2 linked regions of the Rattus norvegicus genome follow. The protein of the gene in region 1 purifies or fractionates together with the protein of each later gene. This does not show direct contact. Links are inferred from orthologs where the notes say so. Each region holds a gene or a part of one and is shown in the gene's direction. Other genes may lie near its edges.

Region 1 (15,946 bases):
TACCTTAATCAACCATGTGCTTGGAAAGAGTGGAGGGTCTGTTTCTCCCCTTCTCTGTACGTCCGTCTGCCTTTACAGAGAGTGTGTACTCTCCAGGTGGGGCTACTTTGCAAGCTGAAAGATCCCAAGTTCAAGATAATTCAGTGAACGGCTAGGCAGGGGAATCCTCACTCCCCCCTTCTTACCCCTCTGCATTGCTATCCGTTCCAGAGCCATAGAATCCATCTTTAATTGCTTCACTGCCTTGTATTTCATTGGCTCGGTGACTTTTTCCTTTTTGATTTGAATTTAGCACATATCAATTATGGCTAGCAGAATCTGTTATGGTGCTCAAGGGAGGAATTCCACAGGACCCTCTTCACACCGGGGATGGAGAACATCTGGTACTTTCATGTTCTGATGCCAGGATTTAGAGGTCAGGGCTGAAGGCTTTGGGGATCAGGGCAAGTGTCAGGCTGCAAGCAGCCGTAATGAATGGCAGTTGCTGACTAGCTGGTTTAGCCTGTTCTCAGCAGGAGATATGGCCGGTCAGTATAATGAGCTAGGACTTAGTGTGTTAAACACATCTAGCTTGGCAAGTGAGGTTGGTCATGCCTCTCCCCTCCCGATTCTGTATGGAATTTTCATCTCGGAAGAAATTATATTGAGGTCTTCATTAGTGGCACCCTGCAGGGTGAAGCCTCTATGAGGGCTGAGAAGCAGGATGGCTTTACAGGAAAAAAAAAATGGCCAGCTTTTGTGCAGGGAGTTGAAGGTTTAAGTTGCCTGAACTGGAAAGGGTCTGCAGAGGCGATTATGTTAAGCAAGTAATGTGTATCGGTAACATGGAATCAAATTATGAGGGTCACTAGCTTCCTGGCTTTCCCAGTGCATTAAATGAAGACATAAGATTGCATTTGTGCTGGGTACTTCTTGAGGCCGCACAGTGTCAGCACTGTCCAGTTGTTCATACTTCACAGCATGTCACCTCTAATTTCATGGGATTATCTGCACGGCTGCTTTATTAGATGGTCGCTATCTTGAGAGTCCTTTGAACTCACAGCAGGGCCATGCACAGCCATTACTGTGAACGCTTCTCTTACGTACACAATTCTTATTACCGTCGCCGTTTTACGAAGGCAGATACAGCCCACCACCCTCCTGCCTCCAAAACTCTGCGCTCATTTGTTTGCACCACAAGCCGCCCCACGGGAAAACCCTGAGTGCGAAAGATGCTTTGGAGGGCTCCCTTTAAAAAGCTGTCCAGCCGGCGTGGTGGATTCATGGTGGAAAGGCGTGTGGTCCTCGGGTCAACAGCATCAGGATCACATGGGGGCACAGGAGAGGTGCTGATCTCATTAAATCAGAAACCCAGGGATGGGCTCAGTGGCCCGTGCTTTAACAAGCCTTCCCTGGTGATTTCGAGGAAAGCACGGCAGTGCAGTAACATTCATGGGGTAAAGAATGGGGTAGACCTATATATTTGGGGATAGAGCAATAGACAAGTTATACAGAATGCCTACCCCCATGGATCTCATTATATTGCAAAGGTACTTTGTTCTGATAAAATGTTCTTTCTTCCATATGCCAACATCAGTCCCTGGAACTAGTCTTCTGTATTCTTTGGTAGCAGAAAATGTGAGAGATGACCCAGACCCGATGTCTTTGTGTATTTCAGAACCATCCCCCTTGCAATCTGCATCTCTATGGCCATCATCACAGTTGGCTATGTCCTGACAAATGTGGCCTATTTTACAACCATTAGCGCCGAGGAGCTGTTGCAGTCCAGCGCTGTGGCGGTGGTAAGTCAACATTACAGTTCCCACAGTTAGAATTTAGGCTAATGAGTCGAGGATGGACTCTGCTTTATCATGGCTCCCTACAGGAGAAAGTGTTTTGAAGTTAGTCATCTTTTCTTGACCTGAATGATAATATTTTGAAGATTTAAAGTGTACCCTACTTAGATTCTGCTAACTCTACCCTGAGAGCTCTTTGTTATTTTTTTTTTAATTCTCCTAAAAGGCATTTTTATATAAAGCTGCCTAAAAAGGCTTTCCTACAAGGAGGGAGTATTTTCCCAACATGTTTCTAAGGACAGGCGGAGTTTCTGAATGCAAATCAAGGCAAGTTTTGATATGCAAAGTATAATCCACTCTTCTCATTTCTGGTTATCAACTTTTCAAATGTTGACTTGAATCCTCTCCCCAAATTATTTTTCTAGAAATTTCAGGAGGACCATGTCTATTCATCCATTTGTAGCATGACTTGGAATAGTGGTGTTGTGGTGGTTTTTATAAATTTGGGAACAGGTAGGCAATTAAATGTTAAAGAGATGTTACAAAGAGATGTTCCAGCAACACTTGGAGATGACTGTGCATTGTAACCCCCTAATTCCAAAGATTTTCCACAAAATTATTTCACACTGGAACTATATTCGTGTCCAAAGATCATGTTATGAGACTGCTTTTTCTTTTCACTCGTGTTTGCTCAGACATTTTAACTGGGAAGAAAGAATGCACTCATTAACTGGAAGCCAGGAAGGTGAAAACTTAAAAACACCCAGAGACACTCCCATCCACCAAACACAATTCCTTTTAACACAGTATCACTTCCTATCAGCAACACCCACGGAGAATGGCTACCTCCTGTGGTGCGAACCTGTATCTGAGGTCACAGTATGAAAAGGGCTTTGTCCACTGCCTTGAAATGTACAAAGCTTCCGGGTGTCTGGTCGGTTGCCTCACGTTTCTAGGCAAAGGGCAGCCCTAATTTGTGGAGAGCATAATGGGGTCTGTTAATTGCATAGCACCAGCTGCATCAAGGACAATGGGAAGAAAAAAATCCTGTAATAACCAAAAAAAAAAAAAAAAAAAAAAGCATCCTTTATACAAATGTGCAGGAGTGCCTAGGAGAAAATCTTAGAACTTTGTCTACCATTTGTTTATGCTTTGTGTCACTTGTCAGGATTGGAGTTGTGTTCTAGCATTTTACAGGAAACCCTGGTAGGAAATGACAGCCTCCTAGGGTCGGGGAGGGCTGACTCCATAAACTGGTTCAGCTGGTCTGGTCTGACTCGGGTAAAGAACCTTCAGACTGGCTCACTCATATGATGAAATAGTCAACTTGTCTATTGTTCTGATTTATCCTCCAGCATCAAGGTGGGCCAGTACCTGTCACACTCACGAGTGTACGTCTAGTGCTCCTCATACAAAGGTGGCTTTTTGGGATTGTGCAGAGCAATTTCTGTCCTTAAAGTAGAATTTCCTATCTAAGCCCCTTCCTCTTACCAGAGGCGATAGTTGATAAAGAGTCTGTAAACGGCTCGTTGCTTTGGAGGGACAGAGAAGGCGACTGTTTAGACCTTTGCCCACAGGTCTGAGACAGCAATGCCATGGTGCCCGCTTCTGATGATTGTCTTGGGAGTCAGTTTGACCCTAACGAAAAAGAAGGATTATAAAACATTCACGTAGCACCAGGCTAATGGAAAGTCAAAGAGCAAGTTTGGCCTAAATTGTTTCATTTTATTCCACTTTCGGGGAAAGCATTAATTTGCTCCGTTCTTTCCTTCCTCAGACCTTCTCTGAGCGGCTGCTGGGAAAATTCTCATTAGCAGTCCCGATCTTTGTTGCCCTCTCCTGCTTCGGCTCCATGAACGGTGGTGTGTTTGCTGTCTCCAGGTGAGCGAGTTCATGTATTTTCAGAAACACATTTCTGTTTTAGAGATTGGATGTGATAAGGATAACTTTTAAAGAGAAAAGCAATAGTTCCTCCGAACCTGTTGTTTTTAAAGGGATATGCGAGTTCCTAGTAGATTCCGGTGAAGCATGTTTCATTCTGTCCAGTAGAGGGCGCTGCGTGTCTACACATAGCCCACTCTGAGCAGGGCATGCTGCATTTTTTTTTTTTTTTTTTTTTGAAGAGTCTGTCTTCAGGGTTTTATAATGGCCTTTATTTCTAGCGATAAAGTCTTTTGTTTTTGTGAAGGTGCCACGGAAAACAGTAAAGTCGAAAGCAGAAATCACCACCCTGCCATCTGTAACCCTTTTTCTTAGTTCGTTGGTACCAAAATCTTTTTTTGCCTATTTATGTTACAATTTAGAGAGAGGTTAACATTGCATGCATGTACATATGTGTACATGTGCAATGCATGTGTGCTACTTTGGACTGACACTAGCAATCTAGCACTGAATTTGCCACCAGCTACTCCTATATAAGAAGAACTCTACTCAGTGCAATATTTCTATTGTTTTTCCTCAGAGCAATATAAGGTATTTCCCAGACTCTGTAGGTCCTGAAATGAGACTTAGGATGAGATCTTCCCCTTGTCTTCAAAGCACAACCCAAATGACCAGAGGAGAAATGCCAAGACGCCTAGCATGAGGACGATGCATCCATGTTGCTTTGGGGATTTAAGAACTGCTCCATTTGAATGATTGATTCTGTAGTCAACTTCACCCTTCTTCTCCCTGCAGGTTATTCTATGTTGCATCTCGAGAAGGGCACCTTCCGGAAATCCTCTCCATGATTCACGTCCACAAGCACACTCCTCTGCCAGCTGTTATTGTTTTGGTAATGCATATTAACAAGGACATGCAGATATAACCTCACACAATGGTTAGGAAGGAGGGGATGGAACAGACATCCTGATTCACCACTGGGTTGGTGCTCAGTGTGTCGTGTTTGGGAGGCCAGAGATGTTTGCCTTGGCTTGCTTTGACTCCGTGCTTTTGATGTGTACCGGATGCCCTGGGATATGACCCACCTCACTTCTGCTTCACCTTTGCAGAAATTTGTAAGGTATGAAGGGAAATGAAGGCTATGGTTTCTCTCCTTGGCGGAGAGCCTCAAAGGAAAGAAAAGGAAAAACCGCAAGGATACAATCTAAATTCTGGTCTCAGAGTTCAGCTGAAAGCAGACTGTGCAAAAATGATCTGTGGCCCTCTCCTGGTCCCTCTCATACAACGTAATTTAAAGCATAGATAAGACATAAACAGCCAAATGTTTCTCCAGGAGGCCTGTGAGAGCAAACCTTAAGGAAAAAAAGGAAAACCCTAAATGTAGATTGAAGCAGGGGAATTCTCTAGGCTGGGGTGATATTTGTCAAATGTGGGACACAAAAGGCTGTTAAAGGTGTAAGAGCTCTCAAATACCCTTGGGCAATGCTACAGTCATTTTTTTCCCTCCTCTGATTTTAGTAACATTTTTTCTTAACCAGAATCTGCTGTCAAGAGCTCCCTAGGATGCATTGAGCATTTTTTTTTCTTCTCCATGCATTTAATTTGTTTCAGAATGTTTCCTTGAAATTTCTTTTGAACATACGCACTCTGTGCACAATCTGGAAGCTAACGTCATTTGTGGGAACAGGATGTGCTGTTCCATAAAGAGGGCTTTCGTGTGAAGCCTCTGCTATCCTTCATGCTGTCCTTGGCTTTTTCAGCTGCAGATTCCTGCTCTGACGTCCTCTTTCTCTGTTTATTCTTCCCTGGTCCTGAGGCTCACAAGCAGTTATCACAAGGGGACAGTTGACCCGGAGTAGGAAAAGGTCAATGTTGTGCATTAGGGAGCCAAGAGATTTACCTTCACACGGTTGTCACTTGTGTGTGGGTCCCAGGAGCACTTCAGAAATCACTTCAGAGCTTCCTTAGATTTTCCCAGTTATCTGCATTTAATATTTATGATTGGCAACTTACTAATTGATTCTGGATGATTTTGAGTGATTGGACATGTTTTCTTCTTATTCTTTGAAAATACAATGTCTTGGGTAAGGTACACCTGTACATGCTACGAGTTTGGCAAGCATGAGAACTTGAGTTTAGTCCCTCAGACCCAATGCTGGTATGGTGACTTACATTCATAATCTCAGTACTGGGGAGGCAGAGACAGGAGGCTCCCTGGAGATCACTGGCCGGTCAGCCTAGCCTGCGTGGCCAGTGAGAGGCCCTATCTCACAAGGTAGAAATTGTCTTCTGGCCTCCATGCGCATTTACAAACATCCCTGCATTTATACGCATGTGCACCTGTGTGAAGACGACACCCTTACACACAAAAACAAGCCAACAGAAAATACACTGTCTCCTTTCCAAAGAAGAAGGAACTGACAAAGTAACAAAACAGCACATTCTTACAAAATCCCAACTGAAGCGGGGCTAGTGACGGACTCCTCCAAAGGAGGCTCCATTGCAGCCTAAGAACGGATATGGTAAAGAAGTTTGTGGAACCTAGGCTTTGGTCAGGGTGACAGCTTAGCACTATAAATAAGTACTGGGCAGGACACTGGTGGTGTGAGGTGATGTTATTGTTTGTATTACCTGTCCCCTCTTAGTTCCCTTTGGTTACTGTATCTCTCCTCCTCCTCCTCCCCCAGCATCCTCTGACAATGATAATGCTCTTCTCCGGAGACCTCTACAGTCTTCTGAATTTCCTCAGTTTTGCCAGGTGGCTTTTTATGGGCCTGGCAGTCGCCGGGCTGATTTATCTTCGATACAAACGCCCAGATATGCATCGTCCTTTCAAGGTAACCTCGGCCATCTTGATGGGTTTACATAAATCTCTCTTCTAATACCTAGACCTCTTTTTGTCATAACTCGATGGGGAGGTTGGGTGCCACAGGGTCCGGCAAAGTAAAATATTTAACTCTTGCAGGGAGAACCTTCTGTTCCACTTTACTTGGGGGGAAACTATGTGCATTTTAAAGTATGATATAGTGAACTTGTCACCGATTTTATCTGTTGAGAACAGAAAGTGTTAAAAGATCCTCTTCAGACTGTGATTTCATGCATGGCTTGGGTATGTTCAGAGCGTGGCATACCCCTGTCTTCATACTAAATGGTTGCAAACAGCTGGGCTGTGAAAGAAAGAATACTTCATTGATAAAAACTCAGCCGTGGGTGCTGCTTTACGGATTAGGCATTTTAGTCCTTATTGTAACTTGTTAACATCATGGCAGTGTACTCTATCGTGGCAATTCTCCATCACTGGGCTGCAACCCCTTTGTGGGTTCAAATGACCCTTTCACCGGGTTACACAAGACCATCGAAAACACAGATATTTACATTATGATTCATAATAGTATAAAAATTGCAGTTACGAAGTAGCAATGATTGGGCTGGGCAGCATCATCACATAAGAAACTGTATTAAAGGGTTGCAGCCTTGGGAAGGTTGAGAACCAGTGCTCTGAAGAAATATGAAATACCAAAGGAAACACTTAGCACTAAGGAGAGGACCATTTACTCTCCCTGCAGTTTCCTTTAGGAAGGCTGGAGAGCAGCCCTGCCATCAGTCTCAGATGTCAATGGGTCTGTGTGATCTCACTATTTATTTGCTTTTTAGATTTAGCACAGATAACGCTGCCAGTCATGTTATCAGGATTTGCCTCTAATTGTATTCATTGCCACCTGCTTACAGCATCTTTATTAGCTGCTGACTAGGAGTTGGCCTGCTCTATTCCCATTGAGTCTCATTGTGACTCTCAACAGGAAATCAATATTCACGGAAAGGTTTTAACACGTAGCAAAGCCACTGGTGCTCTTGACTCTGTGTGAAAGCAGGTTCTAATTGTGAGGATCGAAGAAGCAATCTTTTAAGATGAAAAATGTAAATCACATTGATACTTCAGTAGTAATGAAATTTGAGTAGGGCGTTCGCCAGGAAGCACACTCTCCTAGCTCAAGACTCGGTTCACATGTCTGAAAACAAGTTAAGAAACTACACCTACCTAACACATGCTCTGTGATGACCCGGTCACATGACCGACGCCCTCCACCCCAGTGTCTTGCACTGTCATGAAGTTGTTTTCCTTTGGCTGTGTTTCAGGTGCCTCTGTTCATCCCAGCATTATTCTCCTTCACCTGCCTCTTCATGGTTGTCCTCTCCCTTTACTCGGATCCGTTTAGCACCGGGGTTGGCTTCCTTATCACCTTGACTGGGGTCCCGGCGTATTACCTCTTCATTGTATGGGACAAGAAACCCAAGTGGTTCAGACGATTGTCAGGTAAGACTTTTGAACATCTTGGCCCTAACTAGATACTGTGTTGTAGAAAACCCATAAAGCTGTACACAGCTAATATACATCTGTTAAACACTAAAGCTATGATTGCTACAATGGTCAGTTAACCCGTATTACGGCAATGTAACGGCAATGTGGAGAGAAGGATGGGAAAGGATGACTGCAGCCCGGTGGGGTATTGGATTCTGGTGATCTTAGTCATTGGAATTTTAGAGGAAGGATAGCTTCTTTAGGTAGTTTTTCAGTGCTGCCCACTGCTCTTTTGAATCCCTTAGCGACATAATGGTTGTATTCCTTGGTTGAATGCAGTTGAGTGACTATCGTAACATTAAGTTAACCAATGATGTAAGGTTTGTTGGGGTGTGAGGTTTCAATGTCTAGCTAGCAAATGTCTTAAACATCATGGCTGTAATGCTACCTCACTAGAAAAGATGACCTGAAGAGGATTTTAGTAACAGCAACAACAACAACAACACCTAATCAAGAGTAGCATCTTTCTTGTGTGGGTTCTCTATGTTTGCACACGTGTGACCACTTTCTCCCAACAACCGTTTAAGTAGTAGAAGCCATTGTCTATATTGTGTAGACTTTGAGTTACATCCCCAGAAAATTCACGCCACTCTTCCAAGCCACGTGGGTATAAGTAAAAGAGCTGGGACTAGAACTCAGCCATTGGCACTGAGGATGGAAGAGAAGGGCTTGAGGCTGAAGACACGGGAAAGACATGGTGGTTCCTTTAGGGACAGGAATAAGAGTTGAGGAATGTCTGAAGGTGGGTCCTGTTAGCAGGACCATGAGGACTTTCAAAGCAGGAAAGAGGAAACACTAGCTCAAAGTGGTAGCCTGTTAGGGTGTGCAGGAGGAAACATGGAAGGTCACTTGGTCAGAAGGTGGCTTTGGAAGTGCCCTGTTGTCAGGAGAGCTCATGAGCTCTTTCCCCACCTTCACTAGCTCAGATAGATTTCCTGAGGACCCATGTCCCAGATTCTGTTTCCCACGACCAGGTGAGGAAGCCATGGCTCAGCAAGAAGGAGAATTTAGAATTAGGTATAACGGACTTGGAGCATGACATCTAGAATTTGAACTCACATTTCCTGGACATCAAGATTCACTGCATTAGATCCTCATCCCATTACAAAATATCACACCAAAGCAGTGGAGAGGTCTTGAGCATGGTAGAAAGCCTAAGGCCTAGAAGAGCCAGCAGCCTTTGAGGTAGGGTTGGGGAGAACAAAGGGCAAGTTCATCATGTTGTCCCAACTAGATGGTTTTCTGAAATTCCCTGTGTAGTCAGGCAGTTCTAGCCATCTTTCCTCTCACTACCGCAGGCAGGCTCCAGGCCACCCTGTCAGTTCAGATCAGACATTTTCAAATGTGATCTTTCTTTGTTGCCCTTCTGTGCTTGGGTCCTTTTGGAGTTTTTGTTGTGTTTCTTCCTCTGATGATGCTTTGAATATCTCCAAGGCCACTGCATTAGCCATTTGTGGAAGGAGCTGTGGTGGAAGAAACCCAGGGTGGTTGTTGGTTCAGGGACGCTGTTAACTCTTACCAGCGATGCAGCAGAATGCTCTGCTTTAAACTGTGATCATTGCCGCTCTTTATCTTTACAGACGCTTTGAAAAGATAGGGGGAAAAACAGCAGTCCTTTGTAATTCTGTTTGATTTTCCTCTTAGGCAGCGTTCTTGTAGTAAGATAAAGAAAATTCATAATATTTATTGCTGCAGAAGCAAGTATTTTCTTAGCCTTCGGCCAAAACAAAACACACAGATGAAACCAGAGAGTCCTCCAGTAGTACCCGACCCTTCCCCAAAGACATACTTTGTGTTAGAGAGAAAACTCCACGTGAGCTTGGAGGCAGGAGAGCCTTGCCCAGAGCAGTTGGTTCAATAGTTTAATATCATGTTTTTTTCGCCTGGTGAAATTCTCTAGTCTTTATGTTTTGTTTTGTTTTGTTTTTTTCTTTAACTTTAGTATGTGTGAATAGAGTAACCCTGGGAAAATGTGACAAGTCTACTAAAATGCACCGTGCCGGGGCTATTTCCAGAAGTTGTAACTAGACATCATTGTTGTGCAGAGATACTGGTGCAAGGCTGGTTGGCACAGTCAGAGAGTGTCCCGAGCCTTAGGAAGTGAGATTTTTTAAAGATCTGATGAATGTCTCTGGCCACAGGATGCCAGTATTGAACCACTTTTTATGTGATAGCATCTCCAAAGCTAAAAGAAAGCACTCTCTTAAGGGGGTAGTCATATATGCAGAAAGCTCTCTCCTCTGTCTGTAACGAAGGGACTGATGTTTAGTTTATATTAATTTATATTTATATTATATAAATATACTTATGTACATATTTATATATATTACATATATTTGTGTTACATGTATATAGTTTTATTATATATTATAATATATAATTGCAGTATATATCTTGTAATACAAATAATACAAATTATATGTAATATCTATATTATAAATACGTTATATGTATTTATATTATTCACTTGTTTGCAGACAGTCAAGCTTCTCAGAGGAGGAAAAGTGTACAGGTTCACCCCGATATGTTTGGATGCACAGAGCACTAAAGCCAAGGACTAAGCCGCTCACTATCCACCCAACCCTATAGTAGCCGAGAGCCATTAGGATGACTGGCAGTCAGCCCCTCTTGCTCAGGGAGAGATACAGAGGCAGCCTTATTTAAATAGCATCTTTGGTTGTAAAAAGGGGAAAGAAAAAAGAATTTACTGTGGCCAACATGAACAGAATGCCTGTAATCCATCTTTGCGGACAGCAAGCTCGCAACTCGAGAGCCTAAAAGCATGTTCAGCTCCAAGTCTGTCAAGGTAGCTTCATTTGGAACAGTCCACTGAAGCTGGTTCATGCATTTAGAGACTCTTCCTAAAGGTTAGATTACCATTTTAATTCATTAAGTTTGCCTATATATTTCTCAGGGGCTCAGAAGGTGTTCCACTAAATAAATGTAATTATAAAAATAAAAAAATAAAAATATAAAACTAAATATAAATAAACATGAAAGCATTCACCTCCTTCCCCCTTTAAGAGAACATACTGTTGTTTTTCATATAATTTCTGGGGCAGGATAGCTTTGTCCTGCATCCCAAGATCACTCAGCCCTGGCTGTTGGTCCTCTGTGGATACCAGGTGTGATGGGGTTATGAGACGGCACAAAGTTCCGGTTTTCTTTAAGAATAACAAGGGAGGAACATGGAAACCTCAATCACAGCATGACTGTAAAGTTCAGTAGGTTGTAATCTTGGAAAACTCCAACTGTATGTCGTCAGCTTACCTTTATTTGAAAAGGCAATGATGTGGGTTTATTACTGTACGGCCACTAATCTTATTGTGAGTATGAGTAGGATATGCGACATGCCAAACCCACACATTCTGCAGGGCTTCTAGAAGCTTCCTTGATCCCATCGAGCACCTGTGCCAGCCCCACTGTTGTAGGGCAGCTTAGAAGGAAACGTTGGGAAACCAGGTACCCAAGGCCTTTCTGAGCACCCCATCATAATAAAAGTTACGCCCCACTAGGACCCCGAAGGGAGAGCTATAGAGAATGTCAACGGGGCTGGTTAGGCACACTTTGGGCCTTACTCTGCTGAGAGGAGAATAGAAACAGAAGGGCACAGGAGCATCCCAGTTGCTGCTGCTGTCTGGAATGGAGGCAAAGTTCCCACACCAGGGAGTGAGAGGTCTAAGAAGGCAATACATGGGAATCTGCATTGTGGGAAAACAGTAGGGAAGAGCTTTGATGTCAAGAGTAGAGGGCCAAGGCTGAGTGAGAAGACAGGATGTAGAGGATTGCTTAGGAGGCTATGCAAGGATGTCTTTGAAACATGAGGTTGCAGCCCTAGTTCTTTAACCCCATTGCTTTTCTTTCCAACTTTTGTTTTTCCTTTTACCTCCTCGCTGACTACCATTGGTTTCTTAGCTCCTTGTCTACCTATAAACACCACCTTCCCTGGCCTATTGATGGACGACTCCCCCTAAGCCCTAAGCCCAGAATGTTCTCTTAAAGGGGGAAGGAGGTGAATGCTTCCATATTTATTTATATTTATTTTTATATTTATTTGTAAATTTTCAAAGGATAATTTTGCCATGTACTTTTCTGCAAATATGGGGTATGATTATTGCTTTCATGGTAGAGTAGACTGTATAAATTGCAACTTATCTAAGAAATATGTAAAGTTTATTATTTGATATTACTGTACATAAGGCCCTTTTCATTAAATGTAGGGTTAAAAAAAAAACAAAACAAAACAGCACCCCCCCCCATAACACCAACAACCCCCTGTCCAAAACCCATGATGTGTTCCCAGGCAACTACTTCAGGGATTATTACTGTATCTGTTACTTTTCTTTCTTCTGCAACAACTTACCAGACAAAAGGCAACTTAAGGGAGGAAGGTTTGTTCGGCTTGTAGTTTGGGCAATGCCCATCTTGTCATAAAAGGAAGAACTGCTGGAGTTTCCTGGGTGGCTGGTCTTCCTGTCTTTAGCCAGGGAGCAGAAACCAAGCAGCGACTACATAGGAAGTAAGGCTCGGTTATAAAGTCTCCAGGCCTGCCCTCCTAACCCACATTCCCCAGTGAGGATCTACACCTAAACCTTCCACAGCCTCCCCTAAACAGCGCCAACAGTTGGCGACCAAGCGTTCAGATGAGGGACATTTAGCAACACCACAATGAGAAGAGAGCAAAGGATAAAAATAGCTTTTTAAATGTAGTTAAGTATTGCTTGCAGGCTTGTTAGAATAACAAGTCATCAGAGAAGAGAAGACTGCCTGCAGGGGAGATGATTTGGGTCTGGAACGTTTGGGGGGGGGAGGTACATAGTCTTCTATAAGACTAGGGGACTTTGGAAGGTGTTCTATGGGAATTGGTGACAACAACAACAGCAACAACAACAAAAACCAAGAATTTCCCTAAAGCCATCACCACCTAGCCCAGCACCCTAGGTGTATGGTCAGAACATGTCCTTAGAAGTAATACGACCCAGAGGTTATTATATTTTGGTGTCTGCTAGAGTTACCTCTTGCTGGGTTAAACCTTCAGCTTCTCCTAACTTAGAAGACTGAGACCTAGACTTGAAGCAAAATTAGAATTGTGGAGGGCGCTTAATGTGATTGGTTTAAGAACCTTAAGTGACCCAAATTAGTCCAGGTTTCTCATTCTATTCATGAGACAGACAAGGTCTTGATAATTAAGGTAATTTGCTCAACAGTACTACCGATTAGATCCTGGAAATGCTATTCTTCTCCTGACTGTCCAGAGAAATTGGTTGTCATCCCCTATGTAAAAAATAGAACAAACCCATCTTGAGTTGAACATGAAGAATATTTGTAAACATTTATTGATATCTTGGTCCCATTGTCTCAAAATATTTTCAGCCTCCTGGTTCATGAATAAATGTTCTTATTTGAATGCAAAATATTAATAAATTCTTACTGAGAAAGCATCATGGGAAGTTGTAGAAGTGACAAATACACTAATTGAGGATGATAGGATTGTAATGAAGTAAATAATTCTCGAAAGTGCTCTGTAAAGAGGGTAGCTGTGTACTCTCAGTATTCATCCCCAAATAATTCACATTTTGCTATTTTTATGCTGCTGTGATTTTCATGCATTTTAATTTCTCCTTATTTCTTTACAGACAGAATAACCAGAACATTACAGATTATACTAGAAGTTGTACCAGAAGACTCTAAAGAATTATGAACTTAATGTATCAAATCCTTGGCCATCTGCCCAGGACTGAGATACAAAATGGCTCTTTATTTCAAGAAAACACAATTTTGATGATGGGCTAAAGGAATTGGTTATCTCTAATCATAGCCTCTAGTGTATTTGAATTAATTTCTGAGCAACTTACCGGTAACTCCATATATTTGTAGCAAGCTAATATGCAAGTCATACAGTGGGGCAAGCTCACAGTTCTTGAGTCTAGTGCCTATCTGCTGAGGGAAAGGAAAAGGAGAAACCTAAGGGCATTGGCACCTGGGTATCATTCTCTACAACATTTCTTATCGTGACTGAGAACCTTGAATAGAAGACCAAAATGGTTTCTGTACATATGAGGCCTGTAAACATAGCTTTACCTACTGGGGACATCTATACTGTGAAAAGGATTTTGTTTTTATTTTTCTGAAAAAAAAAGAGTCATTATTGTAGCAAAGGAAGCAGAATGACTTTTACATTGATCTTGGATTGTTTTCCCTTAGTGACCAACATGGCTGTCACTTATCTTTCAGTGGCTTATACTCAGAGCATCAGAACAAATGAAGATGAGAGAGGAGAGAGACAGAGACAGAGACAGAGACAGAGACAGAGACAGAGAGAGAGAGAGAGAGAGAGAGAGAGAGAGAAAGAGAGAAAGAGAGAAAGAGAGAAAGAGAGAAAGAGAGAAAGAGAGAGTAGCTGGAGGTCAAATTCAGGGCTTTCCAAAAGCCAGGCAAGAACTCTACCGTTGGGATACGTCTATACTCTAATTTTCTTAAATGAACAAAAGAAGCATTCCCAGGGGCTAACATTTATGACGCAATCCTAAACTGTGTTTGAACTAAAGTCATTGAGAACTTGTTAGGTTAACTACGTCATTGTTTATTGTCAGGAAACTCGGTGTTTGTAACGTCACTGTGGTTTGTAACGTTTCAGTGTGGTTTGTTTGTTTTATTCCTGAAAACCTGTATGGTTTGGTATGACATCCTTGGTGAGACACCTCTTTGGTAATTTACGTCTTAGTGGATAAAACCGTTTCGCTCATTGCAGTCCAACACCCGCATGGGAGAAATTGCCCACAAGACTCCAAACATCAGGCCTCATCTCTATAAACCGCATTATACGCAGGGTTAGCAGTTCATTCTCCTTTTCTTTAACTTTGTGGCTGTTTTTACCTGGGGATGATTTTCGACAGTGTGTGCATCCCCTTTACCGTTCTGTTCAAATATCTCTGGATAAAACTATCTGGATCCATCATAAAGGCACAGCTTTACATAAGAACTGTGCAAGAAATGCATGCCACCACTTAGGAAGACTTTCAACTGACTTTTGAAAAATCTAGGCGGTTTCATTCATCTCTACACTTTACTTATAATTCAATTTGCCAAAGAGGGATCTGTGACCAAACCTATCGAAGGAGAGTCTTCAGTAATGTCGTTCAGCTCCCTGACGTCGAGTCTGAGTTAGAAAAACACTAGCAGTGTTCAAATGGGATTAATGTGATGGTGGGATTTTTAAAACATTTTCCTAACATCTGAAAATTAAATGCATAGCATGGTCACAGTGAATTAAATTTGATCTCTTATATTTTGACCACTTAAAAACAAAATGTTTTAAAAAATTATCCTGAACTGGTTGTGGTGGCACATACCTTTAATCTCAGCACTTGGGAGGCAGAGGCAGGGAATCTCTGAGTTCCAGAAGAGCTAGGGCTACCCAGAGAAACCTTGTCTTGGAAAAAACCAAACCAAACCAAACAAACAAAAAGTATTTTCCCAAATAAAAGCTATTGAGTTCATAGATAATTGCCCAAAGTACAAATGATGACCTTAATTTGGAACAATTCACCAATTCAGCATTTTTAGTATCAATAATGTTTAATACATACCCAAAGTTGACTTTGTTTCTGAAGGCCAAACCAAGTGTTTATTTCCCTAAGTGAACTGCTAACAGGTTTTTTGTTTTTATTAACATGGGCTTTTCCAAACCATAAGTCTAGTCTCTAGGGCTAACATAGTGTTCATTTGTTGACGTCTATCTCTGTCAGATGTGGCTAGAGGTGCACATTATTATGTTGTTATCTTTATACCAGACCCATGAGATGTATCAAGGCAGGGTCTTCTGATTACCTATGAAACAGAGTAAAGCCATGGAGAAGGTCCTGTGGTCCACGATTCTTCCTGAGGTTCATGTGCCCCTCGCTGATTGTCCTCATTGTGTCATTTGCTT
Region 2 (16,605 bases), on another chromosome or scaffold:
AATAAATGTCATAGCTCATGGAAAAAAAAGAAAACAAACAGGCAAACAAAACAACAAACAAAGCATAATAAGAAAGGAGAGAGAGAGAGAGAGAGAGAGAGAGAGAGAGAGAGAGAGAGAGAGAGAGAACACGAAGCAATATGAGACAAAATTATACAGCAACCATTGAGCTAGTTTTGTGTTGGCCATCTACTGCTGGGCATGGGGCTTGGCCTTCAGAGAGGGTTATATATCTAGTGAGACTCCATTACAGCTTTTATCTTTCTTAAATGAAAGTGAGTAGAATAAAGGTAAAGTAAATACTAATCTGGACTCCCATTGGTTTAGTGGTTTTCCCAGATCAGTAATTAGGAAGAAACAAAAGATTTCTGTCTTTATATTTCTTGATGATGGGAAATTTTGTTAAGTAAAATAAAGGTGTGGTTTTGAATTAGTTACCTGCCCTTGCAAGATTCAGGGAATTTTGTTCGTTTAAATCTGTAAAATGATAATTTGCTGTCAATAGGGTTTCTGTGACAACTAGACAACATTGGATTGGCTGTGCTAAGACTAACTTTTACAAGCCTGACAATAAGGGAGTTTATGGAGACAGAAAGTGATGGTGATGATAGCAGTGATAGCGGCCGTGATGTTGTCCATGACAGTAATGACAATGTATATGATGGTTGCGATGTTAGCTTTGTCAACTTGATACAACCTCGAACGACCTGAGAAGAGTCTCGATTAGGAGTTGTCTATGTGGATTTGCTCTATGGCATGTCTATAAAGGATTGTCTTAATAACTTAGTTGATATGAGAAAGACCCAGCCCACTGTGAGTGACACCATTCCTTAGTCAGGGAGCACTGAACTTTGTAAGAGTGGAGAAATCAAGCGAAGCAAGAGCATGCAAGCAAGAAGGCAAATGATCATGTGCTCATTCATTTCCCTCTGCTCTCGACTGTGGATATGTCACAACTTGCTGTTTGAAGTTTCTACCTTCTCCATAGTGATGGACTATGACTCAGAAGTGTAAGTGGAAATGAGTCCTTTTCTCCCCCAGTTGCTTTTTATCAGGGTATTTTATCACAGTGACAGAGACAAAAGTAGGTCAGTGGTAATGATGATAGGGATAGTCATGATGGGAATGATGCTGATGATAGGACTAGTGCTGGTAGGGCTGGTGGTGGTGGTGGAATTGTTATGGCTAATTATTTAAAAACCCAGAGTGTAAAATGTGCCCACTCTTTAGTAGCTGTACAATACATGCATGAATGAATTAATTAATTAAAAGAATAAACAATTCAAATTCTATACTCAAACATTCCCATTTCTAAGTTTGTTACTAAGCAGCTTTGGGGTTGGGTACTATTTTCTTAGTCCCAAACATTCTATGTGAAAGCCACTTGGTGACTGATATGGCCAATTTAGAATCTAGGTTCCTCTATCCCCGTAGCATTCTCAGAGTACTATAGTTACAGCAACTACTTAATTTGTCATAATTTGAAAGTTTTATTAATCCTAAAGGCCTAGCTCTGTGATCACTTCTAGCTGAATAATAGTCACTCAAAGTTATTTATTTATCATAAAGTTTCACTCATTCCTAGCTACCGGCTTTTTAGACTCCACTAATGATTATTTCATGAGAGTTTCTCGTTATTGCTCATTTGCATGTGTAGAACTCAGCTTGTGACTGTGAACTAAGAATGAATTCCATTGAGAGTTCAATATTAACCGGAATAGTACTTTTACCTTTACCTTGGCTGATCAATTCTTGTCTCTGAAATGGTGTTCCATGTTTGTACCATTCCACGATCCATCTCTGGGTCTCCCAGCCTTGCCCTTCATACTTCATTCACATTTGGTCTAGCCTTTTATTTTTCTTTGCTTAAGAAGAGGAGCTCTATGATCACTCATCAGAAGCCATCAGGCCCTGGCGTTTCTGTAAGAGCGTCTCATCTGTATGATGTGAACAGGCTCCTCGGTAGGCTGCTGAACTGGCCACTTTACAGAGCGCGCTGCCTGAATGTGTTCAGCAGCCCTCAAGTTGCCTGGATCTACCCATGAGCTCATGTAGCTTCTGAAACACCCCATAAGCTGTGATGGGAAAAAAGAAAGCAGCAATCACTCGTGCATTTGTACAGTGCTCATTTATAGATCATGATAGAGAAAGCCAGAGACTAGAATACGTCAGCTACTGCAATTGATATGCAATCATGTCCCTGGACACTGGCAGCTCATAGGATGATAAGTGATTGCTCTCTCCACTCAAGTGGGCACCGCAGTGGCGGATCCTTATATCTTATTTTTCTCAGTATTCCTAAACTATGAAAATGGTCTCCTTACCCTCGTTTTGAACCCGAATTTCCCAGAGGTGAAGTTGCTGATGCTCAGATTTGGGCTCTCTCAGCCCAAAGCTGATGACTGTATTCTGGCTTCCTTCCAAACCCTGTGATTTCATGACAAGCCCCACCAATTCGAGCTCCCTGTTTCAGTTTCCCACATCCACGTTTTGGCCACAAAAGATGACTGATGGGATGCACAGCTGACACCAAAGGTATAAAGCAAATCATTTTAAGGATTTTCACTTTCATAGAGGTGCAAAGGAGAAGATGGGAAGGACCTGGTGGCCCATGGTGAGAGCAAGGTGTTTAAAAAGGGGGGGTGACTGAAGAAGACACAGAGATAATCCAGGAATTCCCAAGGACTAGCCTGTCTTAGTCTATTATCGAAACTGAGTCATTTGTGGCACCAGGGCAAGCTGTCTCAGCCCCTCGCTGAACTATCGGGAAGAGACAGCAAGCCCTTCCCCTCTGGGAGAAAAATCCTAATAATAATTTCTAGAGAATTTGCATGTCTCTCTCCAGCTCGCAAAGCGTTTTCAGTCAGCTCCCCCTCGCCTTCCGCCACACACCTTTGGGCAGTATTGTTTACTGAACAAACGCAAAACACTCCAACAAAGCAGGGTCTGAGGTTGGATTTTTTTTCTGGTTTGTTTGTTTTTTAGAATCTTTTGTCAAAATGAATGCTCTCATGATATTCTGATATCTAAAACTGTCTGCAGCCATACCATCCTGAGTGTGCCCAACCTCATCTGGTATATAAAGCTGACCATGTCATGTAGGCTGAGAGACAAGGAAAGAACACAGCTCACTTTAAACCCTCAGCTCTGGCCTCTATGTCCTTTACTGAAGGGCTCCCAAAGGAACCCCCGGGTTCCACAAAAAATCATTCCTGTTAATTACCTATTTCCCTCTCCTCCACCAAAGAGAATCAGACAAAAATCTTGAACAGAAATGTTCAAGATTATTCCTCATCCATAGTTTGCCAAACCCACTAGGATGTTTACCCCAAGTGGAGACCTTTATAATTTGAAATAAATGGTCTCTAGGTCTGAAACAACAGAGTGCCCAGCTCTCTCCACCTACTGGCAAATTCTAAAGTGCTTTGTATTCAGATAAGGCCAAGAGGTGCCTTCTCCATCTCAGAACGGTAGGTCCTTGTGTCATGCCGCCCTGCCAGGCACAGACTGGCTAGGTAGTGGTTCAACAATTTCACAACCCTGTCACTGCTGTCAATGTCTCTAAAACTGCTGCCATACGGTTCTCCCTAATTGAAAAACCGACAATGAAGTTGTGAAGGGTCTGTAATACTGTGAATTAACTAAATGCCACATAATTGCACTTGTGTGACAGCCAGTTTATATGTGTTTTCACACAAAAGTCATTTTTAAAACTCACAATGGCTCTTGGTTTTCTACAGGACCAAGTTCAAAGTTCCTTGAAGTTTACAACCTGGTCTCTGCAGAATTCTCTAGTCTTCATTCTTACTTTGAGCATTCAGTCTCATCATCTGATCTAATATTCAAGTCTTTATAGGACACACACACACACACACACACACACACACACACACAGAAACAGAGAGAGGAGGGTAGGGGGAGAAAGATCCCTTATCAACAGATCACTTCCAGAAAACCCAAGCTTCATCTGCAACTTTCAGAAGATAAATTCTCTTGCATAAAATGGCTCAGTATTTGCATGCAGCACACACATGTTCTTCTAGTCATGGCTAGATACTTGTAATACCTAGCAAAATGAAATGTAGAGTTATATATTAATATATATATATATATTTATCTATGTGATACGTAGTGGTTGAGCTGTGTGGTTCACAAAGTAATGAAAAGCAAAAAGCTTGTAGACACTCAGAACAAATGCAATTCTTATGAATTTTTTAGCCTATAGATACATGAAGCTGGCTGAATTATCTTTAATCATTTTAACAGTTACTGATTATGTGTGTATGTCTGTGCTCCAACGTGCACACGTGCACATGCACGCATTTGCACCATGATACACATAGGCATGCCCGTGAAAGGCAAAGGACAATTTGCCTAATTCACCCTGTGGGTTCCAAGGATCTAACCTGGGACATGTGCTTGATAGCAAGCTCTTTATCACTGAGCCATCGTCCCAGTCCTAGTTGTGGTTTTGCAGTATATTTTATATTGCAGGCAGCAGCTGGCTTGTGACTGAGCTAGTTCCAGGAGACAAACCAGGCCTTGCCTCTCTTGATACCCTTGGGCACTCATTACATGCTTGATGAATAAATGGATGGGCAGGTGACTGGGTGCCTTTCTCTTGCTTTTTCAGTTTTTTCAGTAAATCCCAAAATATCACTTTCCCTCAGAATTTCTGGCACGATTCATTCTGGGTCCTGCCGTAGCCATGTCTTCTGTGTCTCTCATTCGGCAAGAAGTCCACTCAGATTTAGTTCACATTAAAAATAAACAGAGCTTTTGATATCCAAATTGCAACACAAATCGTATTAGAGAAGACAGGGAAATGTGATTTTAAATATTATTTCCCCTGGATTTTCAGCCTGGAAATATCTCCCTTGAAGAAAATGGCAATGTACACCCCTCTTTGAAATTTATCAAGAAGTAAAGAGGAATGTATTAAAGCTTGCAGCAAAGGGAGTATAAAATGCAAACAAGAAAGAGTTAATATGTGAGTGGATATGAGGATGGGTAGAGTGAGAGACGACGACGGGAAATGTGTACATGCATCGAGATGGGTGGGACGTATGATGAACGAGTATAGGACGGGTGTAAAAAAGGTTTATGGAAGGGTGGATGAAAAGTTGTACAGGTGGGTGAATACAAGAACTGGTGGGCAGATGGAGTATGGTAGATTAGTGCATTAGGAGGAAGATGGGTGGACACAGGAATGGATGGGTGGATGTGTGAGTATGTGAGAGCATGAATGAAATGGGTTGGCATCCTTGGGTTTTCCGGAGCAAAGATCTGCTGAGCGGTTTGGACTTCTCTCAGAGAGAAAGAGGAAACTCCCACAAGTTCCCTACTTTTCAATTCCCACCCTGGCCAGGAAGGCATTATCCAGCGGGGGATAGATTTCTCTAATTTTTTCTCAGCTCCTCCCTAAGATTAAGTCCAGCTTCCTGGGAAACCCATTCTTTCCCTAGCCAGGTTCCCAGAAGTTTAGTGGCAAAGGAGAAACTGGAGGATTTAACTCAGAGGGGCGAGGTCCTAGGACTCAGCCATTCTTCTTGTCCCAGGCAGCGCTCCTCATAGGCTGGCGGGCTGGGCCAGGGTTGAACGCCTGTGGAGTGGCCCTGGGGGGGCGTGGGCGCATGGGGGCAGCAGCCTTTCTCTTTTGCGGGGAAGAGCAGGGCTGGGGCGCAGGGGCAGCAGCGAAAGCTGGTTGGTGTGTCTTTAAACTTCCGTTGGCTGCTTAGTCACAGCCCCCTCTCTTTGGGTGTGTCCTTCGCGCGCTCCCTCCCTCTTAGGTCACTCTTTCAAAGCCTGGAATAAAAACCACGGCCAACTTCCGAGGCGGTCTCATTGCCCAGCAGCCCCCAGCCAGTGACAGGTTCCATTCACCCTCTTTGCCCCTTTCCCCGCGACCCTTTTCCAGAGGCTACTAGATCCTTTGGTTTCATCCTGCACATCATGGACAAGGTTTGGTGGCACACAGCTTGGGGACTACTTTGCCTCTTACAGTTGAGCCTGGCACAGCAGCAGATCGGTGAGTAGCCCGCCAGCCGGGACTGTGGGATGCGTTCGGCGAAGCGCCTGAGGACTCCAGCTGGATGCCTCTGGGTTGAATTGCCCGGGGAGGGACTGTAGTGAATTGGGCTAGCAAAGCAAAGCTGGGATTGGGGCTATGCTATTGGAAAGAGTTTGCTCTTGGGAAGTGCTGCTTTGGTGAAAGGAAAAGAGAAAGGGAGAAGAAAGTTTGCTGGGCAGGTTGCCCGCTGCAAATTTTGGGCGAGGTCCCCGACGCTTGCTGAAGCACATGGCTCAAAAGTAACTGTGCTCTTGGATATGCACAGCCTCTGTCCTGACTAACAGGCTCTGGCACTCAAGGGTTCCCTAAGCCTGGCTGGTTGTGGCTAGCAGGTTAGAGCCACAGACTGGGGCAGCAAGGACCTGTAGAGCACTCCCCAAGGTGTTCACATAGCTGTAGGCCAGTTATTTGGCAATGGGCTTTTCCGAAAGGAGCCTCAGAAAGCTGAAGAGAGCGGGTCCTGGCTTAGACTAGTTTTCGGGGCTCTTAGAGTCCGCTTTGATCACCGACTGCTTTATTTTAGCTTGTGGGAGTTTGAACTGGTTCTGTGTGAGGCTCTGAGTACCCAAAAGGTTCCAGCATGGGCCAAGGAGGACACAAGACAGGAACATAACTGGACCAGCCTCCGGTGCTTGCAGTCTCCTGGGTTTGCCAGTCTAGGCAAAGTCAAACAGCAACAGGGTCCATATTCGCTGCCTGGCAGCTTCAGGGCAGGAGGGGGCCTGCATTAGGGTAACACGTGAACTTTAGCGCGGAGTCCCTAATATCCCATCTAAACGAGGTTGGTGGCTTCTGTGGCTGTGGAGGGGAGGAGCTGGGGCCAGGTATTCAGTATGGCTCAATTCTAAGAGTTTCCCCTCTTTTATATGTATACGAACAGATAATTACACGAAGGCTTTGTTTATCATCAGCATAGTTAATTTTTCTTTTAAGAAGTGTCAGTCAGGTCACTAAGCCAGCTCAGACTACAGGAGGTTCCTCTCAGCAAGAATTTATTAAACCCAGTTCTGGGGCGTAAGGGGTATCAAACTGGGTTTTTGTAGGCATGGTAGGTAGGGATTAGAAAATTGCACCTCCATTGCCGGATGTTAAAATTTGAGTACGGATGCAGGTGTAATGCGAATGATTTTAGCAGCACAGCACCATTGGCCATTTTTTGTGCCCCTTTGCTGTGCCAGGCTCTATGTGAGGTCCTTCATTTCTCATTTTATCCTCATGGTGATTTGGTGAGGAATGCACACACCACCACCCCCTTTACCAGTAGGGAAACAGGTTCAGAGAGGTTAGGTGGCTTCTCCTATGGGATGGTGCTGGGTGTGAACTTGGGTTCATTAGCTCAGACTGCCATGGGATACCTAAATGTGAGTGCTAGACAAAATCGAAAACCTTCAGGAAAGCGGTATCTAGCCAGCAGAGACTACAGTGGAGGCTTCCATAGAGAACCAGAGCTCCAAGGGACCCTTGGAAGGCAGAAACATTCAGGATGGATGAGGGAAGGGCAGAGAGTCCTGAACTTGCCTCAGGAGGAAGGTTAGCACACTACTCCCACCTTTGTTGGGACTGAAGGGCTGAACTCCCACATTTTCCTGGCCTATGTCCCAGCTATTCTAAAAGCCCTACTACCTGCTGCCCTTCCGAACCCCCTGGAGTCAGGTCCCAAGGCCAGCAGGCTGTCTTCTGCCTTGGGGTTCCTATCTTCCTGCTGTACAGTGCGGCTCCAGGACAAGTAGGGTAAGTGCCAGTAGCAGCAGCTACCTAGACCCTGGCTTTCACTCCCTTGTCGGAAAGGAACTGAGACCAGAAATGAGATGTGACTTAGCAAAGAATCTGGGCTGGCAGAGGGGAAGGAGAAGGCCGAGAGAAAAGAGAGGCATCGTGGTTGCCCCATTCTGGTTTGGGAAGATGGTGAGTAAGCACTGAGACTGGGCGAAGTTGGGTGGGGGTAGCAGGAAAAACCATCCAATGCTGCATCAGAAGTCAAGCAGTAGAGAACTGGTAGAGGCCAAGCAACTTCTCTCCTAGGGGAGGAAGTGGCCCTAGGTTGAAGGCGAAGGGGACAAGTGTCCACTTGCATATGTCCTCTCCCTTTCCAACGCTCATGGCTAGAAAATTGCACCTCCATTGTTGGTAAAGAGGGAGTCACGTGAGAGTCTTGGGACTTGGGGGAAGCAGGCATTGTTCTGCTTCCTCTGAGCATTCTGTAGGCCTCTGTTGCTTTGCATTGGCCATCAGAATTCAGGCTAAGTCTTCCCATGTGAAGAAGTAAGGAAGCAAGCCCCATCTGTGCCAAAGTGTCTCTGTTTATTCCTGGGCACACACAGGACATTTACTTCCTTCTAAAGCACAGTGAGGAGACCCTGGCAGCTGAGGTGGGAAACTTCTATTTTCTGCCAACTTCCCCTTACGCAGGAGGAGATGCTGGACCACATGAAATTCCTGGTTTATGACAGATCTTCTTCCATTCATTCCCTAAAAATTTCCTGATTCATTGTCATAGATTCAAAAATGGGAACTTTAAAGGTCACTTAGGGAAAAAAAAAAAAAAAAAACCCTGCTTTTCCCCAAGAGGAAGCAGACCATGGGAGACAGGGATTGGTGAGTTCCCTGCTCCTTAGGGTGTAAGGACAACTTTGATAGACCAGCAGTCTCTGGAGTACCACTGTTTCCTCTGAAGTGGTGAGGAGGAAGGTGTGGCTAATCTGGGGTGTGGCATAACATTTTTAACCCCTTCAGTACTACCTTACATACTCATCACACATTTGTATTTTATGGCCCGAAATACTCAGTTTGAGTTTAAGAGTAATGATCACCATATCGTACGCTAAAGGAAGATGGTACCCAAGACAGACCTGTCTTGTTTCATATGGCTTTTGAGCATCACTGAAAAATTAGAAGAACCCTATTTTTTCATGTATTTCTCTTCATTCATTCACTCATTCATTCACTTTATATCCCAATTGCAGCATCCTCTCTCCTCTCAGTCTCCTTTCACCTACTTCCTCCCCCATCCCTACTTCCCCTTCTCTGAGAAGGGGGAGCCCCACCCTGGCACATCAAGTCACTGCAGGACTAGGCACATCCTCTCCCTCTGAGGTCAGATAAAGCTGCCCAGTTAGGGGAATGGGATCCACAGGCAGACAGCAGATAAATAGAGCCCCTGCTCCAGTTGTTTAAGGACCCACGTGAAGGCTAAGCTACATACGTGGGAGTCCAGCTCATGTTCGCTGGTTTGGGGTTCAGTCTCTGGGAGCACCTCTGGGTCCAGGTTAGCTGATTCTGTTGGTCTTCTTTTGGAGTCCCTATACCAGAAGAACCCTATTTTTAAAATCCTGGCATGTTGCTCTTGCCACTCAGCATCCAAAACCTTTAAGAGTAAGTGCTACTCACTGCTCAGATTCAGTTTAATCGATGGTTTTCTTACATAGCCGTGCAATGACCACACACATGAAGATTTTCCTAGCACCATTTTCTTGATAAAGAAATCAAGGCTCCGAGGACACAAGAGTAGAGTCGAGGTGCCCCACCATCTAACATCACCCCATCACTACATTTGGAGGATTCAGGAGCATGTGGTCTCCACTGCTCCTGCCCCCTGTACTCAGCAGAGTGATCATGGATGGCCTCTCTTGCCTCCCTCCAGAAGTACGTAGGCTCCTGGCTGCTCTGCTTTGCCCTCCCTGTCTCATCTTTCCCAGGGCTCAACCACAGCTGTTAGAAATGCCAACCTAGATATTTATTGCTAAAATAAGGCCCGTTTCCTTATCAGAGTCCAGTTGCCCCTTTAGACATGCTCTCATTTGTAGGCTTGGCAAAAAGGGAGAGGCTGCTCCTTGCCTAAGAGACAAGTCAGGGCAATGCCCTTTGCCTACAAATTAAAAAAGGCCCCACAGACACTCCTATGCTGCTCTCATAGGCATTTTGGATGCAGTGACCCATAGAGAACTGCTGGTATAAACTCTTTGAATGATTATATATACCCGCCCCATCGGAGGGGAAGTCTTGAAATCCCAGGCAGTGGGTTGACATGGCTTTCTACAGAAGTCAAAGCTCTTGAACCAAAATCCACTGAGAACCTCTAGGATACACCCAACCAGGTAGACTCAGTTCCACTATAAAACAGGAGACTTATGTGTGTGGGTGGGGGAGAGGGGTTGCTTTCTCAACAGCCTGACCTGGAGTTTCAGACAAGATATGACCTACAGTGGTGTTTCATAAAGACCTCCATTTTAGCAACTCTAACCAGAATGTGAGCGAGAAATTATTCTTGTGAAAGCATAAGCTAAAAGCAGGTGGCAGCTGCGTGCTGGCCCTGTGGAATTTTCAAAGGGGATCTTCTCTACTTCGGAGAAAGATTCTTGGAGTTTGCACAAGAAGCTGATGACTCCGTTTACTTTATGCCTCTGCTTGAATGAGGACTCAGCATTTTTTAAGGAGGGCCTTAAATTTGAACCCAAATTTTCACTCACTTAGCGGTCTCACATTTTTGTTAAATATATACTTCTGGAACTAGGGTGGAATTCAGTGACAGAGTGTTTACCTACCATGCATGAAATCCTGGGTTCAACTCCATAACTGGGGAAACAAACAAGCCAACAAAAACTCCAAAGCAAACAACAAGAACAAAAACCAAAACCAAACCAGAACCCAACAAGCTCCAAACTGGCCAGCAAGCATTTGGGGACCAGGACCATTAGTGAGAAATGGAAAATGTGTCTCTGCTACCTGCCTTCTGCAGCCTCATGGGATGCCCTGAGGAATTCCAGCTAATGAGGATTAGATCTCACCCAGTTTTGTGGTCTTAGACCCCAATGCAGGCCCACAATGAGGACCAGAATTGTTGTACTTAAAAGAGTATCTCAAACAGAGAAGTAAGAATTTTCATGTACAGAGGCAGGCTGGCTGACACACTGAGGGTACAAATATGTTTATGTGTGTGTGACAGCATGCTGATAACGTTGTCATTTTGCACAGGGTGGGGAGAAGGCTTGGCTGGTCGACTGCTTCTATGTCCTCTTCCCAAGCAGAGGGTTTGTCGCTCTGTGGTGGTTTTGGTGGCTGCCGGCTATGGGGCCAGTCTAAGGAGAGGGTTAGGAAAGCTGGGAAGGGGTTGGTAACACCAAACTCACACTTAAACCTCAAATGAAACTGGCCAGCCAAGGTTGGCTTTCTGAGACGAGGAGCCCTTGAAGCTCACCGACCCTCTGACACACTTGGTTCTGGTAGGTGGAAGCAGCAGGGAGTGATGCAGAAACCCTTCCCAGAAGATTCTGATATCTTCCATGGCCTGCTATTCAAATGACTCTACATATCCCAAAAGTGCCTAATCTGCAGGAAGCCTGGCAGCTAACAGGGCACCCACCAGCTTCCTCTGCAGTGAGCTTGCCCAGTACAAAGTAGCTCAAGCCTAGGGTAGGTCCTGCACTCCCTTGGATCACTCGTCTACCAATGCTCAGAGACAGTGGAACACAGGAAGAGGGGGCTATTGTGGGGTCTAGACTCACAAAGCCAGAACGCCATGAAGTTGGGGTGCACCAGCTGCCTGCCTGGGTGTACCCGCCTGGTGCAAGCGTCCCTCCTTTGTGCAAGTGTGGGCAGACAGACTCAAAGTGGGTGGGGAGGGCTTGAGTCACCAAGGATGTGATTTGCAAAACTCAGGTCCCAAGAACTTTCCTCAAGTCTTCAGCTTTTGAAAGTAAAGGTTAATTGCAAAACCCCAGGGAGGAAGGGAAAGGTCACACGGGCAGATGAGCGGTGATTTTGAACATCTGTACCCTCGGCGATGGCTGGAAGTTAGTGCATTTTAGAGTTCGTACACCGTTTGTATTTGCCTTTTGGTGGCTAACTCTAGGTTTCTGAGTTACCATCAACAATGCTAATAATCATAAACAGAACTGGTTCTCTCTCTCTCTCTCTCTCTCTCTCTCTCTCTCTCTCTTTCTGTTTTCTATAAACTAACTTGTCTAAATTATGCACCAATCTTATGAAAACAGTGCTTTTATTATCCTCTTTTTACAGAGGGAACCAAGGCACAGAATTTAAGGAAATGGGCCAGGGCCACATAGTTGTAAAATAAAGGGACTTGAGATTCAGGTCATCATGTGAGCATAGGTACAGAAAGGGTCCAGAAGAGGGTGTCAGATAGCTTGGATCTGGAGTTACAGGTGACTGTGAGCTACCTGGTATAGTGCTGGGAACTGAACTCTGGGCCTCTGCAAGGACAGTGAGCACTTTTAGCCACTAAGCTATCTCTCCAGCTCACTGTCTTTCATTTTAAAACATGACATCAGAGGAGGAGACTGGACTTGCAAAAGAGAAGGGAAAAGATCATGTAATGGAAACTTTCCTCCATTCGTCCTCTGAGGGGCTCACTTATAAATACCTGAGCAGGAGTCTAGTTCCTTTTCTGTGGTGAGTTTTGGGAGGCGAGTTAATGGATGGTGATGTGTGGTTTTTGTTCCTGGTTGCTTCATTTATTATTTCTCTCCTGGGTGAAGATGGACTTTGATGACTGACGTTTTTCTGTCATCTAAGACTGTGACTTGTGATTAAAGAAAGCTGAGGGAGATATGGGACAAATAAATAAAAACCAAGTACTCCTTGTTTGCTGAAAAGTTTCTGCATCCAGGGTCTTCATTCTACAAATAGGAGTTGATGGAAAAGAAAGGGAAACTGAGACAGGAGTTGGCCAGGAGTTCGGTTTTACATTCAAGGTACAGAGAACTTAAGTTCATGACAGCCACTCTTCCCAGCTCTATAGCAAACCAGGTGACCTGGAATTGGCTTGGTGTGCAGCAAGTAAATGTCACTCAGGCAATAAGATCCTTTTCTCTGGCTATCGCTGGCTGAGAAACAAGTCATTCAGGAAGAGAGGAGGTGAAGCACTTTGGGCACATATGACTCAGTCTGTAGAAAGGGCTGCTTTAATCTAGTGGCAGGAACTCATTCAGGATTTCCCATCTGTTTCAATGTCGTGTGTATCTTTACTATTAAGCGAGTCAGCAGTGCCTTCCAAAAGCATCCACAAGAGCCATGAATGAGGCAGCACCGTTCCTTGTTTCATTTTTTAAAAGGATAATAGTGAAACCTCTTAGCAAATGTTCACCACCATTGGAACTAAGACACCAGGGAGAAAAGAGAGTTTGCATGCACCTGTTTCTTGCCTTTGCCTTTGACAGCCATTTTACTATAATCCAGACCCCATCTCTCTAGGCTCCAGAAACATCAAATAAGTATGTCAAGCACAAATGCTACTAACAACAACTTTACACAATCCAACGAGCTAAGTCTAACAGATATTAGTTCCAACTTGAAGCCTAGAGAGAACTACTTGCTTTGTTTCTATAGCTACCAGAGAGCTGTAGGGGCTCCCCATGGGCAAAGGGAGGACATAGACTGAGGGAAGCCCAAAGACCAGAGGTCATGCATGCATGGATGAGGTTTGGAGTGGAAATCAGCTGGCAGTTTGTCTTGTGTTGCGTCCTCTGTTTTCATGATACCTTAGAGGTTACACTCACTCATTTGGACACTCCTAAGAGCAATCATTCTCCTCTAGTTGTTCATGCTATTGCTGCATTGCCTGATCCTTCATGAGAACTTCAGTTCAGGTGATGCCTCAGTCTGGAAAATGCTTGCCTTAAAAACATGAGGTCCTAAACTCAGTCCTCAGCACCCATGTAAAAACCAAACCAAAACAAAACAAAACAGGTGTGACCATGTGCACTTATAGTCCCAATTCCGGGATGTGGAGATGGGAAGACTGCTGGGGACCTCTGGGCAGCCAACCAAGCCTATTTGATAAGTTCTAAGTCAGTGAGAGGGCCTGTCTCCTCCAGACAGGGTGGGCTACTTCTAAGAAATGACAGGAGGTATCCTCCTGCCTCTGTGTACATATGCACCTGAACACACATATGCATGCATATGCATACATGGGTATACACATATACACAGAAATAATCAAGACTTAATTTAAAAAGAAGTTAAAGTGATGCTCTTTGGTTGTAGCTGTATGACTCCAAAGCTCCCGATGGAAAACCCATGCACTATGAAGTTTTCTGCAAACACCGTAGCTTCCAGCTATTGGCATATTTCCCCAACTATAGTAAGCTCTCATTAAATATTTAGATAGTTAACTGAATAAAACTTCTGGACTTAATCTAGAAGTAATCACCATCATTAACTGAGATTTTGGGGGGTAAGTTCTGACTATCTTATTTTTAATTCTGTCTTTTCTTTTTGGTATCCAGAAAACATTTTCTTCCCTAGTGCTTCTTGAAGGAAATCTCAAACTTCTTGAAGTTTCTTTTCTGGGCACCCTCTTTAGTTTAAGTGGACCTTTCTTAAGGTTTAACATGTCAGGCAAGGCAAGGAGCTTAAAAGGCCCATTAGATTTTGTCCAATAGAGTAGGCTTCTTGATTTCCTTTAGATCTGGCTATGTGTGTGACTCAGTCATCTCAAAACCTGACCTTGTATAAATTCAACCCCCACCATCAAAATCCTACTTTTCGGCAACACGTTGAGATAAAGTGTTGGCTCTTTGGTTCCTACATTAAAAATGTGGGGTGGGGTGGAGAGAGTTGAGTGTCATTTCTTCCCATCAATGGTTTCCAGATCTAGGAGCTGTTCCCTGTAATCAGACAGTTGGTGTGCGAATGAGGAGGTAGTTATTAGGGGAGGTCGGTGCTGAAGACTCCATGGCTGTGAAAGAAGAAAGATCCTAGCTCATTCTCTCTGTGACCCAAGAGCCGGGTGAGCTCAGGCAGTTGTTTGTAGACCAGGATTCAGCTCATGCTTTTGAAAGTCCCACAGCATACAGAAGTGCTCTAAGTATAGAAACAATCCTCTACGTTTCTCTCTGTTACTAAGTCACTATATAATGCCTCACCACACCACTGTCCTCTATTTTCTCCATGTCTGAAAGGAAAGAGACTCTAGGTGATCTCTATAGTCCTTTCCATCCCCCTGCTCTGTAAATTCCCCACTCTGAGCTCACCAATACCCATGCTTCATAAAACTTTGTGGAGAAAATAACACTACTATAATACTGTAACAGAACAGTACCCAAAATGTGATGCACAGTGTGGATTTAATGTCAGCAGTGAATTTTTAATTCATGCCAGAAAGAAGCACAAAGACCCAGTTATACTTCATAAACAGCAGCAGACAAAAGTGAGTCCAAGGAACAAGGACTCTCCCTCCTTGAACACTACCAAATTCTCCCTTCTTGGAAGGGAGCAGATGTTAGCAGTCTGGGACAGAGAAGCTAACAATGTGTCTCAGCCACGCAGCTTCCACTGCAGAAAGCTAGTCCTGGGATCATGGGCAGGATTGGAATGAAACACTGTTTGTTTCAAATGATAATTCAAATAGTATTGCACCAGGAGGTCTGGAAATCCAACGTCTGTGAGAAGAAAGAACTATGTCCTTCACTCAAAGTTTCATGAGCGTGCTGGATTTCTCAATGTCCTTCAAGGAGCCTTTACAGCATGTTAGTACAAAATGATCCATGTACTCGACCAAAGCACCCACTATAATACATGTACCTATTGGCTGCAGCAATGGCTCAGCGGTTAAGAGCACTGGCTGCTCTTCCAGAGGACCCAGGTTCTATTCCCAGCACCTACATGCTAGCTTACAACTGTCTATAGTTTCACTTCTGACCGTCTCTTCTGGTCTCTGAGCATACCCAAGTCAGGCATGGTCCATAGACATTCAGGCAAAGCACTCATACACATAAAATAAAACGATATAACATAGTACATATGATATATATTATACATGCATATGAAACATATACATATAAAACTTAAGCAGGGTACTGTACAAAGATGGCCAGTAAGATGAGTTTACTCCTTTTACCAAGATTCTTGTTTTTCCCGATTCTTGTTAATTTTTTCTTCTGTAAATCCAGAAAAATTCTTGCTTGGTGGCAGAAGGAAAAGAAATCATAAATGCTATGTTACCAAGGAGGTTTGCAAGGGGCGTCAGAGTCTGAATACCCTATCTACTTCCAGCCCTCAGTCAGTGACTGAAGGTCTTCTGTCAGGTTGTAAGCCTTTCTGCTTGTCCCCACAACACAGTCACCTGGAATCCACCAACCTTTGTTTGAAATAAAATGCCAGATAGTTTCATGCATTGTGTCATACTTATGCCCCTAGTTGTTGAATCTGGTTCTGTTGTCTGTACTTCCAACCAGCTATACAGACATCATGTTACTCTGCGAGAAGTGAGAACCCACACATGGCCAGCAGACAACCCTTTGTCTTGGTCCCAGGATGGCTGTGGGCGTGGTCCCTCATTTTATCATTACTCCTGTTTCCTCAGATATAAAATGGTGACAAACATCAGTTTATTATACTGAATTGTGTGATTGATGGGTAGAAAGAAGTGAGGGGTGCAGAAGAGCTATTCTCAGGTATGGGATAGGTCAGTAGAAACTTGATAACTAGAAGCTACTAACTTAGTAGAAGCCATCAAGCTTCCACGTAGAAACCCTCAAGGTACCAAGTAGAAGACAGTGTGTAACTGAGTGGAGATC

What was found.
Region 2: the proteins of Slc7a11 (region 1) and Cd44 purify together in Homo sapiens (affinity purification with western blotting; 3 studies listed by BioGRID and IntAct, with this or other methods). This does not show direct contact. The link is inferred for Rattus norvegicus from reciprocal best matches to the Homo sapiens genes SLC7A11 and CD44.

Annotation. Positions count from the first base shown.
Region 1 is NC_086020.1:136,598,980-136,614,925, reverse strand, and holds part of Slc7a11 (cystine/glutamate transporter), read left to right. Parts: intron 1-1,657; coding exon 1,658-1,781; intron 1,782-3,552; coding exon 3,553-3,656; intron 3,657-4,451; coding exon 4,452-4,548; intron 4,549-6,343; coding exon 6,344-6,493; intron 6,494-7,793; coding exon 7,794-7,971; intron 7,972-10,493; coding exon of another isoform or gene 10,494-10,564; exon of another isoform or gene 10,565-13,633; intron 13,634-13,652; coding exon 13,653-13,717; 3' UTR 13,718-15,946. UniProt on the Homo sapiens protein: Heterodimer with SLC3A2, that functions as an antiporter by mediating the exchange of extracellular anionic L-cystine and intracellular L-glutamate across the cellular plasma membrane.
Region 2 is NC_086021.1:109,688,660-109,705,264, reverse strand, and holds the start of Cd44 (CD44 antigen precursor), read left to right. Parts: upstream 1-5,840; 5' UTR 5,841-5,952; coding exon 5,953-6,028; intron 6,029-16,605. UniProt on the Homo sapiens protein: Cell-surface receptor that plays a role in cell-cell interactions, cell adhesion and migration, helping them to sense and respond to changes in the tissue microenvironment.